Stegostoma tigrinum: one gene and its partner. The protein of the gene in region 2 interacts with the protein of the main gene of each other region in a pairwise test. Links are inferred from orthologs where the notes say so. Each region holds a gene or a part of one and is shown on either strand. Other genes may lie near its edges.

What was found.
Region 1: the proteins of xpo7 (region 2) and uso1 interact in binary tests that used the Homo sapiens proteins (3 or more experiments, as listed by UniProt). The two-hybrid records come from large-scale screens. The link is inferred for Stegostoma tigrinum from reciprocal best matches to the Homo sapiens genes XPO7 and USO1.

Annotation. Positions count from the first base shown.
Region 1 is NC_081354.1:2,791,223-2,798,774, reverse strand, and holds the start of uso1 (general vesicular transport factor p115), read left to right. Parts: upstream 1-4,375; 5' UTR 4,376-4,442; coding exon 4,443-4,508; intron 4,509-7,552. UniProt on the Homo sapiens protein: General vesicular transport factor required for intercisternal transport in the Golgi stack; it is required for transcytotic fusion and/or subsequent binding of the vesicles to the target membrane.
Region 2 is NC_081393.1:2,313,044-2,320,323, reverse strand, and holds the start of xpo7 (exportin-7), read left to right. Parts: upstream 1-4,170; 5' UTR 4,171-4,259; coding exon 4,260-4,277; intron 4,278-7,280.

The DNA of each region.
Region 1 (7,552 bases), on a different chromosome or scaffold from region 2:
AATGGCAAACAACAGAACATCCCCATTTGACAAGCTCAACACATTCCACGATCAATTTAAACAGAAGGTCAGTGAAACCATGTCACCCATACCAACAGCCTTAGGTGCACCTGTACCCACAGTCAACGCTGCAGACGTTAGACTGGCCTTCTTGAGAGTGAACCCTCGGAAAGGGACGGGCCCAGTTGGAGTTCTTTCCAGGCACTCAGATCCGGTGTGGACCAGCTCCTGGGAGTAATCACAGACATTCTTAACCTCCCCTTACTGTGATCTGAGGTTCCCACCTGCTTCACAAGGACCACCGTCATCCCGGTGCCAAAGAAAAACAATGTCATGTGCCTCAGTAACTACCAGTCACTCTGACTGTGATAATTAGGAAGTGCTTTGAGAAGCTAGTCATGGCCCACATCAACTCCAGTCTCCCAAACTGCCTAGATCCTTTGCAATTTGCCTACCGGCACAACAGGTCCACGGTAGACATCGTTTTCCTGGCCCTGCACTCACCCCTGGAACATGTAGATAACTAGGATACGTATGCCAGGCTCCTAATTATTGACTAAAGCTCCGCCTTCAACACCATAATTCCAAACAAACTATCTCTAAGTTCTGAGGCCAAGGTCCTGACTACCCTCCCCACCCCCCCCCAACTTCTGTAATGGATTATTGACCCCCTGCCCTACAGACTGCAATCAGTAAGAATAGCCAACATTTCCTCCACCATAATCCTCAACACTGGTGCCCCCCAATGCTGCATAGTCAGCCCCCTACTATACTCCTTATAGACTCACGACTATGTGGCCGCATTCCACCCCAACTCCATTTACAAGTTTGTTAATGACATCACCGTTGTAGATTGGATCTCAGACAATGACGAGACGAAGTACAGCAAAGAGATTGTGTGCTTAGGGACATGGTGTAAAGTCAACAAGCTCTCCATCAATGTCGGTAAAATGAAGGAGCCGGCCATAGACTTCAGGACCTGGAGTGGGAGGGCACGCCCCAGTCTGTATCAATGGGGCTGAGGTGGAGAGGGTCGAGAGCATCAAGATCCTGGGAGTGACGATCACCGACCATCTGTCCTGTTCTATCCACGTTGACATGAGAAAGTCAAAAAAGCACAACAATACCTCTACATTCTTAGGAGGCTAAGGAAATTCGGCATGTCCACACCGACTCTTACCAATTTTTATAGATGCAACAAAGAAGTCATCCTATCCAGATGCATCACTGTTTGGTGCAGCAGCTGCTCTTCCTTAGACCACAAGAAACTACAGAAAGATGTGAACACAGCCCAGTCCATTACTCAAACCAACTCCCAACCCACTGACTCCATCTACACTTCCCACTGCCTTGGGAAAGCAACCAACATCATCTAAAACCCCTCCTACCCCAGCTATACTCTCTTCCTCTCTCTTCCATCAGACAGAAAATATAAAAATTTGAAAACACGTACCAACAGATTCATGAACATCTTCTTCTCTGCTGTTATCAGACTTTTGAATGAACCTCTCAAATATTCATTCCGATCTCTCTCGCTCTGCACCTTCTCTGTGACTGTAACACTATATTCTGCACTTCGTTCTGCTACCCTGATGTAATTTGTATGGTACAATTTGCCTGTAGCGCACGTGAAACAACAATTTTCACTGTATCTTCGTAAATGTGACGACAATGAATCAAACTCAAACTCAAAAATCCAAATATCAGAACAGGTTCAAGAGGCTGAATGGCCTACTCCATTTTTGTCCATCTTAAATTCTGAGATTAAACACCGTCTGGTTGTAGACTCTCCCATGAAAGGAAATGACCTCTTTGCATCTCTGTCAAGTTCGCAGAGTGTGCATCGCCCTCAAAAAGTCAGGATGAATCCATGACTGAAGAGAGGCTGTGATGACTCAATGCTGATCCTCAACCTCTCTGCCCTTGTTCATGATCATAGCCGCTCTTTTCTGTCCAAGGCCCTTGAGCAGTTACAAAAACAAAACACTGCAGACACCAGAACCCTGAATGAAAAACAGAAAATGCTGGAAATTCTCAGCAACTCTGGCTGCACGCAAAGAGAAACTGAGTTAATATTCGGAAATGAGAAACTTCAGTTACGTGGATAGATTGGAGAAGTTGAGACTGTTCTCCCTGGAGAGAGGGAGGCAAGAGGAGAACTGATAGAGGTTTCCAAAAACATGAGTGGGCAGGATACAATAGATTAGGAGAAGCTGTTCCCAATTATGAAAGGAAAATGAATAAGAAGAGATAGATTTAGTGTGATGTGCAAATGAAGCAAGGGTGACTTGAGGGGAAAAAATAACTTTTAATGCAGGGTATGGAATGCACTGCCTGGAAATGCGATGAGGGAGGTTCAACTGAGGTATTCATGGGAGCATTGGGTGGTTATTTGGATAGAAATTGTGTACAAGGATATGAGGGAAAGGCAGGAAAGTGAAGTTGAGCATTATCGGACCAGCCACGATCTCACTTAACGGTAGAACAGATTCAAGGGGCTGAAAGACCTATTTATGTTCCTCTGTGTTAAATTCTTAAAAGTTAGGTTGGATGGTTGGGGATGTGCAGGGGCTGAATCTGTGGCTGAAGAGTTGATTAATTAATACTTTGTTAGATATCTGCTTGTGTTCTGCTGCATGTTACTATTAACTTTAGAGATAATTATGATAGGTTTTCAAAGCATCCAGCTACAGGTATCTGAAAAAGAAATATTTATTTGCAGAGATAGTAGGAACTGCAGATGCTGGAGAATCTGAGATAACAAGGTGTAGAAGCTGGATGAACACAGCATCAGAGCAGGAAAGCTGACGTTTCGGGCCTAGACCCTACTTACAGAAGTGGTTTCGCATAATTTCTGCAACCAGAAGTCATCCTATTCAATCTAAAAGATAATATGTTTTTCTTGTAGTTGTCATGCATTGGATACGATTAAGGTATAAAAGAAAATCTTTGTGAGGTGCAGGGGAAAAGGAAAGCTCACCCGAAGCTAAACACCTGAAACCAAATGGAGCAGAATTTTTGAGAGAGTCACACAAATTTTAACTTTCTGTATTTCCATATAACATGATCAGGATTACACAGAATCATAATTATTATTGCACAAAGTGGGAGGCAATGACCAAATGGTATTATTGCTAGATTATTAATCCAGAAACTTGGCCATGATCTGGGACATAGGTTCAAATTCCGCCACGGCAGGTGATGCATTTTCAATTCAATAAAAATCTGGAATTAAGAGTCTAATGATGACCATCAATCCATTGTTGATTGTTGGAAAAACCCGTCTGATTCACATATTTCCTGTAGGGAAGGAAACCGCAATCCTTATCTGGTCTGGATTACATATGAGAGATAGTGGGAACTGCAGATGCTGGAGAATCCAAGATAATAAAATGTGAGGCTGGATGAACACAGCAGGCCCAGCAGCATCTCAGGAGCACAAAAGCTGACGTTTCGGGCCTGGACCCTTCATCAGAAAAGGGTTGAGGCCCGAAATGTCATCTTTTGTGCTCCTAAGATGCTGCTTGGCCTGCTGTGTTCATCCAGCTCCACACTGGATTATATATGACTCCAGACCCACAGTAATTTACTCAAACGCCCTCAACCATATAGGGATGGGCAATAAATGCTGACCGAGTCAGAGACACACATCATGTTAGTCACTTAAAAAAAACTAATTTGGCCCATTTCTAATGTGTAATTTCACTGCAATCGAATTGTCAATTTGAGTGAATAAATGAAGCACGACTATTGTACATTTAAAAGAAGCAGCACTGTATTTTAATATAATAAATTCAGCATTCGTACCAACTCTTTTTTTATCAAGTGAATACCACAATTGTTTCCTTCCTCATGAAAGTAGCACAGCCCTGTCCCTTTAAATGAAGCGGTGCATTACTCACTGCCCACTAGGTGGAGCAATGCAGCACATAACTGTTCGTTTAAAAGAAGCAATGCAGCAATCACATTCTCTATTAAAATAAAGCAACTTGGCTGTCACGCTGTTTCTTTAAATGAAGCAATACAATAATCACACTGTGCCTTCAACGCTGCAAGTAACTGCTGCCCTGGCCCTTTAAATGCTGCAGGTACCCGCTGTACTGTCCCTTTAAATGCTGCAGTAACCTGCTGCACTGTCCCTTTAAATGCTGCAGGTACCTGCTGCACTGTCCCTTTAAACGCTGCATGTTGCAGCTGCACTGTCCCTTTAAATGCTGCAAGTAACGGCTGCACTGTCCCTTTAAGGTGATGACGTGTTTGTATTGTGGCGACGTGGGGCTGCCACGTTTCCACGCAGGCGTACTAAGCGATGCCCGCTGAAGACGCCGTGTTTGCGGCAGTGCGCATGCGTAGATCCTGGCGGCCGGCCGTTGGGTGTTGGCGGCGCGCAGGCGCGGGTGTCGGCGGCCGGCGCTGTCTCGGGTGGGGACCGTTGGGCCAACATGAACTTCCTCCGCGGGGTAATGGGTGGCCAGAGCGCGGGGCCGCAGCCCAGCGGGGCCGAGACCGTGAGTACCTGCCTCCTAACACTGCTTCATAAACGGCTGACAGCGGCCCGGCACTTCGCTTTGTCGTCCAGGCCCGAAAAACCGAGGGATAGGCCTCTGGCCTCGGCCTCGATTAGTCAGAGCGGCTGAGAGTGTGTTGACGTGGAATAACTCTCCTGGAAAGACAGGGCTACGGGGTAGATATGTTCTCCGGACAGAAACAAATAATAGGCATGCTGCTACACTGAGGGAGCGCCGCACTGTCGGAGGGTCAGTGCTGAGGGGGCGGGCACTGTCGGAGGGTCAGTGCTGAGGGAGTGGGCACTGTCACAGGGTCAGTGCTGAGGGAGTGGGCACTGTCACAGGGTCAGTGCTGAGGGAGTGGGCACTGTCACAGGGTCAGTGCTGAGGGAGCGGGCACTGTCGGAGGGTCAGTGCTGAGGGAGCGGGCACTGTCGGAGGGTCAGCGCTGTTGGAGCGGGCACTGTCGGAGGGTCAGCGCTGTTGGAGCGGGCACTGTCGGAGGGTCAGCGCTGTTGGAGCGGGCACTGTCGGAGGGTCAGCGCTGTTGGAGCGGGCACTGTCGGAGGGTCAGCGCTGAGGGAGCGGGCACTGTCGGAGGGTCTGCGCTGAGGGAGCGCCGCGCTGTCGGAGGGTCGGCGCTGAGGGAGCGCGGCGCTGTCGGAGGGTCGGCGCTGAGGGAGCGGGCACTGTCGGAGGGTCAGCGCTGAGGGAGCGGGCACTGTCGGAGGGTCAGCGCTGTTGGAGCGGGCACTGTCGGAGGGTCAGCGCTGTTGGAGCGGGCACTGTCGGAGGGTCGGCGCTGAGGGAGCGCCGCGCTGTCGGAGGGTCGGCGCTGAGGGAGCGCGGCGCTGTCGGGGGGTCGGCGCTGAGGGAGCGCGGCGCTGTCGGGGGGTCGGCGCTGAGGGAGCGCGGCGCTGTCGGGGGGTCGGCGCTGAGGGAGCGCGGCGCTGTCGGGGGGTCGGCGCTGAGGGAGCGCGGCGCTGTCGGGGGGTCGGCGCTGAGGGAGCGCGGCGCTGTCGGGGGGTCGGCGCTGAGGGAGCGCGGCGCTGTCGGGGGGTCGGCGCTGTCGGGGGGTCGGCGCTGAGGGAGCGCGGCGCTGTCGGGGGGTCGGCGCTGAGGGAGCGCGCACTGCACTTCCCTTTGTAATTGACCATTCCTGTCTGGGGGCCCAGTCTCATACTTTGAACTCTACCCATGCCACTCACGATCTTTTAAACTTCAATCAAGCAGTCCCTCAACCTCTTGCGTTCTCGTGAAAACAAACCCAATTTGTCCAGACTTTCTTCGTAGCTGAAATCGCCCCCAACCCAGGCATCATCCTGGTAGACCTTGACTGTACCCTCTCCAAAGTATGCACTTCATTTTGGTAGTGTCGTGACTAAAACTGTACGCAATATTCCAAATGTTGCCTGACTTAAAGTTCTATGAAGCTGCAACAGCTCTTGCCTATCCTTATACCCATTGCCCCTTTCAATGAAGGCAAGCATACCATAGGCCTTCTCTTATTACCTTATCTTTCTGTGCTGCTACCTTCGGTGATGATATATAGTAGAATCCATCCCGTGTGGAAATGGGCCCTTTGGCCCAATAAGTCCCCACTGACCCTCAGAGCATCCCACCCAGACGCATCCCCTTGTAACCCACCTCATGCACGTATGCCCGAACACAGTAATTTAGCACAGCCAATCCACTTAGCCTGCACGTCCTTGGGCTGTGGGAGAAAACTCTGCATACCCTGATCCTTCTGCATATCAATACCTCTAAGGGTTCTGCCTCTCACTATAAAATTTTCACCTGTACTTCACCTTCCAAAATGCATCACCTCATTTTTTTCAGGATTAAACTCCATCTGCCACTTTTCTGCCCAACTGATCTATGTCCTGCTGTATCCTCTGACTATCTTCCTCACTATCTGCTACCCCAGCAATCTTCGTACTGTCTGCAAAAATACTAGTTAGACTAGCTGCATTTTCCTCCATATCATTTATATAGACCATGAACAGCGGAGGCCCCAGCATTGATCCCTGTGGAACACCATTAGCCACAACCTTCCATTCTAAAATGCATCCTTCCACCACTACTGTCTCCTGTGACTAAGGCAGTTCTGTACCCATCTTCCCAGCTCACCCTGATACCATACTTCACCTTTTATACCAGTCTAACAAGAGAGACCTTGTCAAAGGCTTGATTGAAGTCCACGTAGACAGCATCAACTGCTTTTCCTTCATCGATCATTTTCATCACCACCTCCAAGAAAAAGACCTCCCCTGCAGACAACTATGCTGGCTATTGCTAATGAGTCAATTTCTTTCTAAATGCTTAGAGTTGGCTTCCTCTCAAAATCTCTTGCCGAAATGCACTTTTTTCGGTTCTGAATTCTGTCAACGCATATTCTTAGCCAGTGAGTCCCTTTGTGTACAGCTTTCAAACCTGAATAAATGCCTTTTGATGGTTCAACTGGCATAGTCTCCTGAATATATCTCTCCTCACTCCTTGTATTCTTCACACCTTACTGCAAGTCACGCAGGTTCTAGCACTCCTGCTCCCATTCTATCAGATGTAACAGCATTGATGACCAGGACATCCAGAATAATACCCATCTCTCCCTGCTGTTGTGTATCTTTTAACCATGTTTCAGTCTTCAAGATCCAGGAAACAGTGAAGTAAATATAGGATTTAATACGTTGATATCTATATGATGAAAACAGGAACAGAGGCACAGGCAGACAAAACTATATCAAAATTCAGCTGGTTTCCACTTAAATATTCATGAAATGTGACCTTGAAGACACTGCTGAACAAAGTTTTGAATAAATCCATGGGCAAACAGTAAGAATTCTCAGACTTTTAAAGCTGAAACAGTTCCTCATTGATCTTCCAGAAATAAGACTTTTGAAGTTGCATAGACAGATTGTTCTGTTGCAGTGAAATGCCAATGCTTATATGTTGATATTTAAGTCAATTTCCTGAAATGGTACATTACTTTTGATTGTCAGTGACGGACTTCAAGTTATATTCAGTCAAGGTGCAGGTGTTGCATA
Region 2 (7,280 bases):
TTGGGGAGGTACATGAACAGGAAAGGCTTCGAGGGAGCCAACACATTGCGGAGCTGGAGGAACGCAGCATCTGAGGAGCAGGAAAGTCAATGTTTTGGGTTGGGACCCTTCTTCATAGCTGGGAAAGGGGTAAGGGAGCTGGGAAATAAATTGAGGGAGGAGGGGTGGGGCTGGGGGAAGGTGGGTGGGATGGCAATAGGTGGATGCAGGTAGAGGATGGTGGGGATTGGTTAGTGGGACGTGGGAAAGAAGATGGACAGGTTGTGTCAGGTCAAGGAGGCGGGGATGAGAGTGAGGGTTGGACATGGGATGAGGCTGGGGGTGGAGAGATCTTGAAACTGGTAAAGTCCACATTGAGACCATTGGGTTGTAGGCTCCCAAGATGGAATATGAGGTGCTGTTCCTCCAGTTTCCGAGTGGCATCGTTGTGGCACCGGAGGATGCCCAGGATGGACATGTCATCCAGGGAGTGGGAGGGGTGTTAAAATGGTTGGCGACCTGAAGGTGTTGATTATAGCGTGCAGAGCGCAGGTGCTTTGTAAATGCTCTGTAAAAACAAGCATGAGGGACTAGGGATAACAGGTGTACAGCTGGATGAACACAGCAGGCCAAGCAGCACCAGAGGAGCAGGAAGGCTGACGTTTCAGGCCTCGCCCCTTCTTCAGAAAAGTGGGACTAGTTTAATTTGGGAAACCTGGTCAGCATGGGCAAGCTGGGCTAAAGAGTCTGTTTCTGTCTTGAATGATTCTTTGACTTCCAGAAAGCATTTGACACAAAATCTCATCTAAGAGACTGTTAACTAAGGTAGAAGCCAATGAAATTGAGACAGATTGCTGAAATAGCTGGGAAATTGGCAGGGGTGATGGGGAGTTCAAACATAACCAATGGTGTCCCAGTGAGAGATGTCTGAGGGCCTCAGTTATTCACATTACAGGGGATCCCTGATTGCGAACATCTCACTGACAAAAGCTGATGCTTACATAAGTGATCCTATACAGGGATTTAATTTTAAAGATCCAAGATATGAGCATTTCCTGCATTTACTGGCTACTTTATATTGACCTGCATTGTGTCTGACTTTATTACAAATGGACTTGCAAACAAACTCATTTACAGCCTGGGCACCGCTTGTATTTATTCATGACTTGTTAAGAGAATAGAAAGTCATTTCATCAAATTTGCTGATGACTGAAAGTTAGGCAGAACTCTCGACAGTGTAGATGATTGCATGAAATTACAAAGGGATGTTGTTCGACTGGTGAATAGGCAAAACTGTGACAAGTGGAACTCAATGCAAATAAGTGTAAGGTAATCCATTTTAGATGAAAACAGTAGGACAGATCAGGGTTCTTTCTAGATGGTATGAAGTTCAATAAAGAGACTTGGGGGTGGAGGTGCAAAGATCTTTAAGTTCCAGCCCCCACAACTCTCTCCTGAAATTTACCATGGCAAATCTACCTAACCCGTGCAGCTTTAGACAGTGTGAGGAAACTGGTGAACCCCACACAGACTCACAGAAAATGTGCAAACTCCACACAGACTCACCCAAGGCTGGACATGAATCTAAGTCCCATGCGAACCACAGAGCCACTATGCCACTCCCAGGAGAGTTCATGGAATGCTGGCCTTCATACCCAGAGAGCTGGAGTACAAGAGTGCAGACATTCTGCTGCCGCCACAGAAAATCCTGGTTAGACCCACTTGGTGTACTGTGAGCAGATCTGGGCATCACAACTTAGCAAAGATGCATTGGTCTTGGAGGGAGCATAACATAGATTTACAACAATGATACCTGCACTTTGGGGGTGAGCTATACTTCTCAGATGGTGTACGTGTGACTGATGAGGACAGATTGTAGAAATGAGGCCCATTTTCTCTAGAATGTGGAAGGTTCAGGGATGATCTGATCAAAGTCTTCAGATTATTAGAAAAAGACAGGGCAAATGAAGATAAACTTTTCCGATGGTTGGGGATTCTCGAACTAGGGGCATAGTTTAAAAATTGGGGTCAGACTATTCGGGAGAGATGTGAGGAAGCACAAAGGCTGGTCGAGGTTTGGAATTCTCTTCCCCAAATGGCAGTTGATGCTGGGTCAGTTCATACTAAACCCAAGGTAGATTTATTTTGTTCCACAAAGGCATTTAAGGAACTGGGCCAAAGGCAAACATGGTGTTCAACTACGGATCCACCAAGATCCCAATGAATGGCAGAGCAGGCTCAAGGGGATGAATGGCCTTTCCTGTTCCTATGTGCTGAAGCTTCAGCTCCTTCCATCATTGATGCAATATGATTGCAGTCTGCACTGGAGCAACTTACTCAGATTTCAGCCTTGTCACTGCTTGGGCCAGAAACAGCAGCAAGTTTAGGGAACACAAATGCCTGTTCTCCACCCCAATGCTACCAGCACCTTCCGAACTGTTGTCTGTGTCCCCTCTGGAAGGATAAAGACAATAGCTACATGGGAGCACCATTGCCCAACAAAGCCCCACACCATCCTGACTTGGAACTATGTCACTGTTTCTTCAATGTCATTGGCTCAATATCCTGGAATTCACTTTGTCACAGCACTGTAGGTGCACCTCAGGGACTACGGCAACTCAAGGCAGCTCATCATTGCTGTCAAAGATGGGCAACAGCTACATCCTCATGTCTTGAGATTTCCTTTTAAAAAGCACCTTACGTGCTCCGTGCAAATTAAATGCGCCCACTTCTGCATTTGTAATTGAATCACACAGTGTGGAAACAGATTCTTTGGTCCAACTTGTCCATGTTGACCAGGTTTTCCAAACTAAACTAATCCTATTTGGCTGCATTTGGCCCCATATCGCTCGAAACCTTTCTAATTCATGTAGCTGTACAGATGTCTTTTCAATGTTGTTACTGTACTTGCATCTACCACTTCATCTGGCAACTCGTTCTGTGCATATCAAATGTAACATACTCCATAAGATATTGAGTCCAGAAGGCTGCAGCATCCCCAAGCAGAAGATGAGGTGCTGTTCTTGTAGCTTGTGCTGAGCTTCGGTGGAGCAGTGTTGCAAGCCTGAGGTCAGAGATGTTGGCCAAGGAACACAGTGCTGTGTTGAAATGGCAGGCAGCAGGAAGCTCATTCAGAGATAATAATAACTGCTGATGCTGAAGTCAGAGATAACAGAGTTAGCACAGTTGGTGCTCATGGTTAGCACTGCTCCCTCACAGTGCTAGGCACCTGGGTTCGATTCCACCCACGAGCGACTGTCTGTGTGGAGTTTGCACATTCTCCCTGTGTATGCATGAGCTTGCTCCGGATTCCTCCAACAGTCCAAAGATGTGCAGGTTAGGTGGACTGGCCATGTTAAATTGCCCATAGTGGCTAGGGATGTGTAGACTAGTTGGATTAGCCATGTGGAAATACAGGGCTACAGGAATAGGGTAGGGGGTGTGTGTCTGGGTGGGATGCTGTTCAGAGTGTTGGGGTGGACTTGTTGGGTTGAATGGCCTGTTTCCATGATGTTGGGATTCTATGATACAGTGTAGAGCTGGATGAACACAGCAGGCCAAGCAGCATCAGAGGAGCAGGAAGGCTGTTGTTGTGGGTCAGGACCCTTCTTCAGATTTCTCACTCTGCACAGCTCACAGCTCCAAACTGTGTTATCTCTTACAACAGGAAGCTCATAGTCTGTTCTGTTCACACAACGTCGGTATGTTGCAAACTGCTCATGCTCCCAGCCTGATATTTTACCTATTCCTTTGTGCATCCAACTGTTGCTCTCTCCTGGCTCCCGGTCCTCCTATGATTTCTTGCTCCCATTCCCGCCCTCCACCCTCCGGTGTATATCCCAACCCGAACCTCGCTGCAACCTGTTCCGAAGAAGGGGCCATGCATCTGAAACATTTCTGTTTCTCTCCGCAGATGCTGCCAGACCTGCTGAGTTTCTCCAGCAGTTTCGGCTTTGATGTTGGATTTTTTTTTCCCCGTTTACACGTAAAATGCCAACCAGATGCACACATTGTCTGTTCAGTAAATGCACCCTGAACTGAGTGGAGTCATTGGTGCCTCACAGCTTTGCAGCAGGGCGGGGTAGAGCCCCACATGGTCAGTGCCTGGGGAAGTTTGAGGGGAAAAAGAGAGGGAGAGCTGTCACGCAGGCGCGCCGCGGGGAGCCGGCCGCCGGCGCCTGGCGCAGGCGCACGGGTAGCGGAGCCGGGCCGGGCGCTCGGCGAGCGGCAGAGAGTTAGTGCGCAGGCGCGTCGCCGCGGCCGAGCATGAATGGAGGAAAATGGCGGATCATGTGCAGGTAACAGGGATGGAGCCGTCAGCCGTGTGTGCGGCGGCGAGAGCTCCGGGCTCACGATGGGAGGATAGGACGGTCCTGGGGGAGGAGAGCGGGGGGATGAGCTCTGCGGCAGGCGGGCCCGTCTGCACGGGTTGGGGATGGGAGGCGGGAGAAAGTAGGAGGAGGAGGAATCCGCGCTTGGAGCCGCCGAGGGAGGCGGCTGGAGGTTTGTTTTGAGCAGCGGGCCCGGGGAGGGGGTTGCTAGGGGTAACCGGGCACTGCTGGGCCAGGGATGGCTTCTTCAAACCTCGGCATTACTGATGTCAATAAACAACAAGCTGCTGCAGGCGCTGGGCCTTGGAGCTGCTCAAGCTGCTTCACCTCCAGCCTCCATTCTTTAACTGCAGCAAGAGAGAAACCCGAGCTTTCTAACAGTTTGCATCCATCGTATTTCATCATAAAATCTCATGGTTTCCATGCTGTTGTTGCATTGCCAGGTCTCTGCTGTTTTTTTTTGCATACCCTGTGTCTTCTTTCTCCCCCCACACTCACCATTTTGCATTCAACCAGAAAGGCTCATTGCACGAGGTTGAACGCGAAATGGATTTTGAAATGCAACATGACTATTCTTTTCGGGGTCGTAGCATGCTAACTTCATCGCGTTGTTGCATAAACAGTGCAGACTTGGGAGCTTTTCTTGCATCGTGCTGAGCCAGCAGTGTTGCATTGGGACCTGAGCTCAATTTTACATTATTGTTGCCTTCATTTGGAGACAAGTTCTTTCTCTTCTGCATACACACTGTTGATATGTTATTGGATGGTTCTGAATTGTCTTAGATCCCTGTGAAGGAAAAGTCTAAGCCATAAATAAATATCATGTTTCATTAATACTTCAAGGATATTTATGAATTTTTCACCTTGATCTTGTATGAGAAACCTCCTTTGCTTCCAACCAGGCGTTCTTGCTCTGTCTTTCCTTTTTCTTTCTTTTCCCAGCTCTGCTCCATGTTGTGGTTCTCCTTCACTTCCACCTTTTTCCCTGTCTGTTACTTATTTTACTCACTGCCGTGAAACTTGATGGAAATGCCTTGACAGAAAATCATTATCATATCAAGTCATTCCTCATTTGCAGCTACAATATCTCCCCTTGTCAGGTTTGGTCTTGTGTTTAAAAAAAAATCCACTTCAATTATTTACACGATAATTCTTGATCTTATGTTTCCTGTCGTTGCCAATCACTCTTCACTGATAATTTGATCTTTTGTTATGCCATTTTTACCTCTTAAAGTTCCTTAAGCTCTACGTTGAACACTTGTACCAAAAAAGCTGAAGCATTCATGTTTATATCTGTTTACTCTCACTTGGAAGATCCTGGCAGTCTCCACCTTCTTTAGTCTTTATTTTGATTTGGTGACTATTGGTGAATAGGCTTATTTATCTGTAATGATCCTCTAACAGATGATAACAAATAAGATGTTCCTTTTGAGTATGAAAACTCGTCAGTAGTTTTGCTGTAAACTTTCCCTATTCAATTTATTTTGTACACTTGGTTAATGTAAGTTGAACCAATCATCCTTTTCACTTTAACCTGTATTTGCTCCTTCTAAAGTTACTAAAATAGTAATACATTTGCATTGATTCAGCTGCACAATTTAATCCTTTCGCTTGTGTGGAAGTCTCTTGGAAAAATTTGAGCAGTGAAGTGTAGTTTGGCTTGTTTCTTCAATTGTGTTGCATTATATGCGATGGTATGCACACTTTGATTTTGCATTATCATCTCAAACCAAAGAGATTTGCTGAAACTTGTCTTTTTTTTACAAAAAGTCTTTTTTCATGGTAGATGTGTTTGTGACATGCCTGATTTCCATTGTCCATGCTGGAACTACTACTTGACCCATTTGAACCATTATGGTGATGGTGCACTTGGAGCTCCAGAGTCACTTTCCGGCAACAGTGAATGAATTGGCTTTGGATATCCAATTCCAAAGGGGGTACCATTGATGTCTTGGTCTTAGAGCTGTTACTCGTGTTGCTGGGTTGAGAGCTGCTTGTTAGTGGTGAGTTCAGTATTGTTGGTAGTGATTGTATTTTTGACCCAGCACCACCACAATCTTCCAAGCTTTTCTTCTGTAACTTATAATTTTTCCATTGATGAACCTTAACAACTGAATCACTTAAGGAATGATGTAGCACGAGAAATAAATTTATGATATGCAGAGTGATTGCAATGCAGCATTTGCTGCCCAAGGTGTGAGAAATTGTCCGGGAGCCAAGGTGCTCATTGAGTTCAGGTTTGTGGACATTGCACTGCTTTCTTTGTGAGTTCAAGTTTCTCCAGCAGTTACATAAATAGATTACTTCACATTCTTAATCTTGAGGATTGACAGTACATGAACATTCACTTAGGAAAGTGAGGAGCTGGACCCCCCAGTGTTTGATTGATGTGAAAATTGACGCCTGTTTTGGATGTTCGATGTGTGATTGAAGGAAGTGCTCTTGACTATTAAAGACAGCAATGCAGTTTGCAAGATACTGTGTTATCTCGTTAGTTTAAACCCTCCAGTCCTCCTGGAAGTTGACGGTACAACCAAGTACACAGTTGTAACAGCTGGGCCTCCAGGAGTCTTGATTCTTGTGGATCATTGGACATTTGCAAGCCCTACAGTGCTACAGTAGCTCGGAAGAAATTGTATTTTCATATTTCAGGATGTCCCTGAGTCCTGTGACAGCCATGTGCTAAGTAACAAAATATAACCACAGGAGAAACAACAGACTGTGTGGAATTTGAATTGCAGAGTTCAGAGGCGAGAGCATTAGGAGACAGGCCATTGTTTCTTTACTCCCACATCCAATGAATTATTGCTGTTGTCTTTCCATTGCGATGAAGGGCAATGGGACAATCAACAGGTATATGACACGCTCCCAGGAACAGCAGTGAAGTAAATAGTCGCACGATCAAGTTTATTGGTCTGAAGAAGAGTTGCAGGAGACTTAATGTCAGCTGTGTTTCCTTCTTCACAGGCA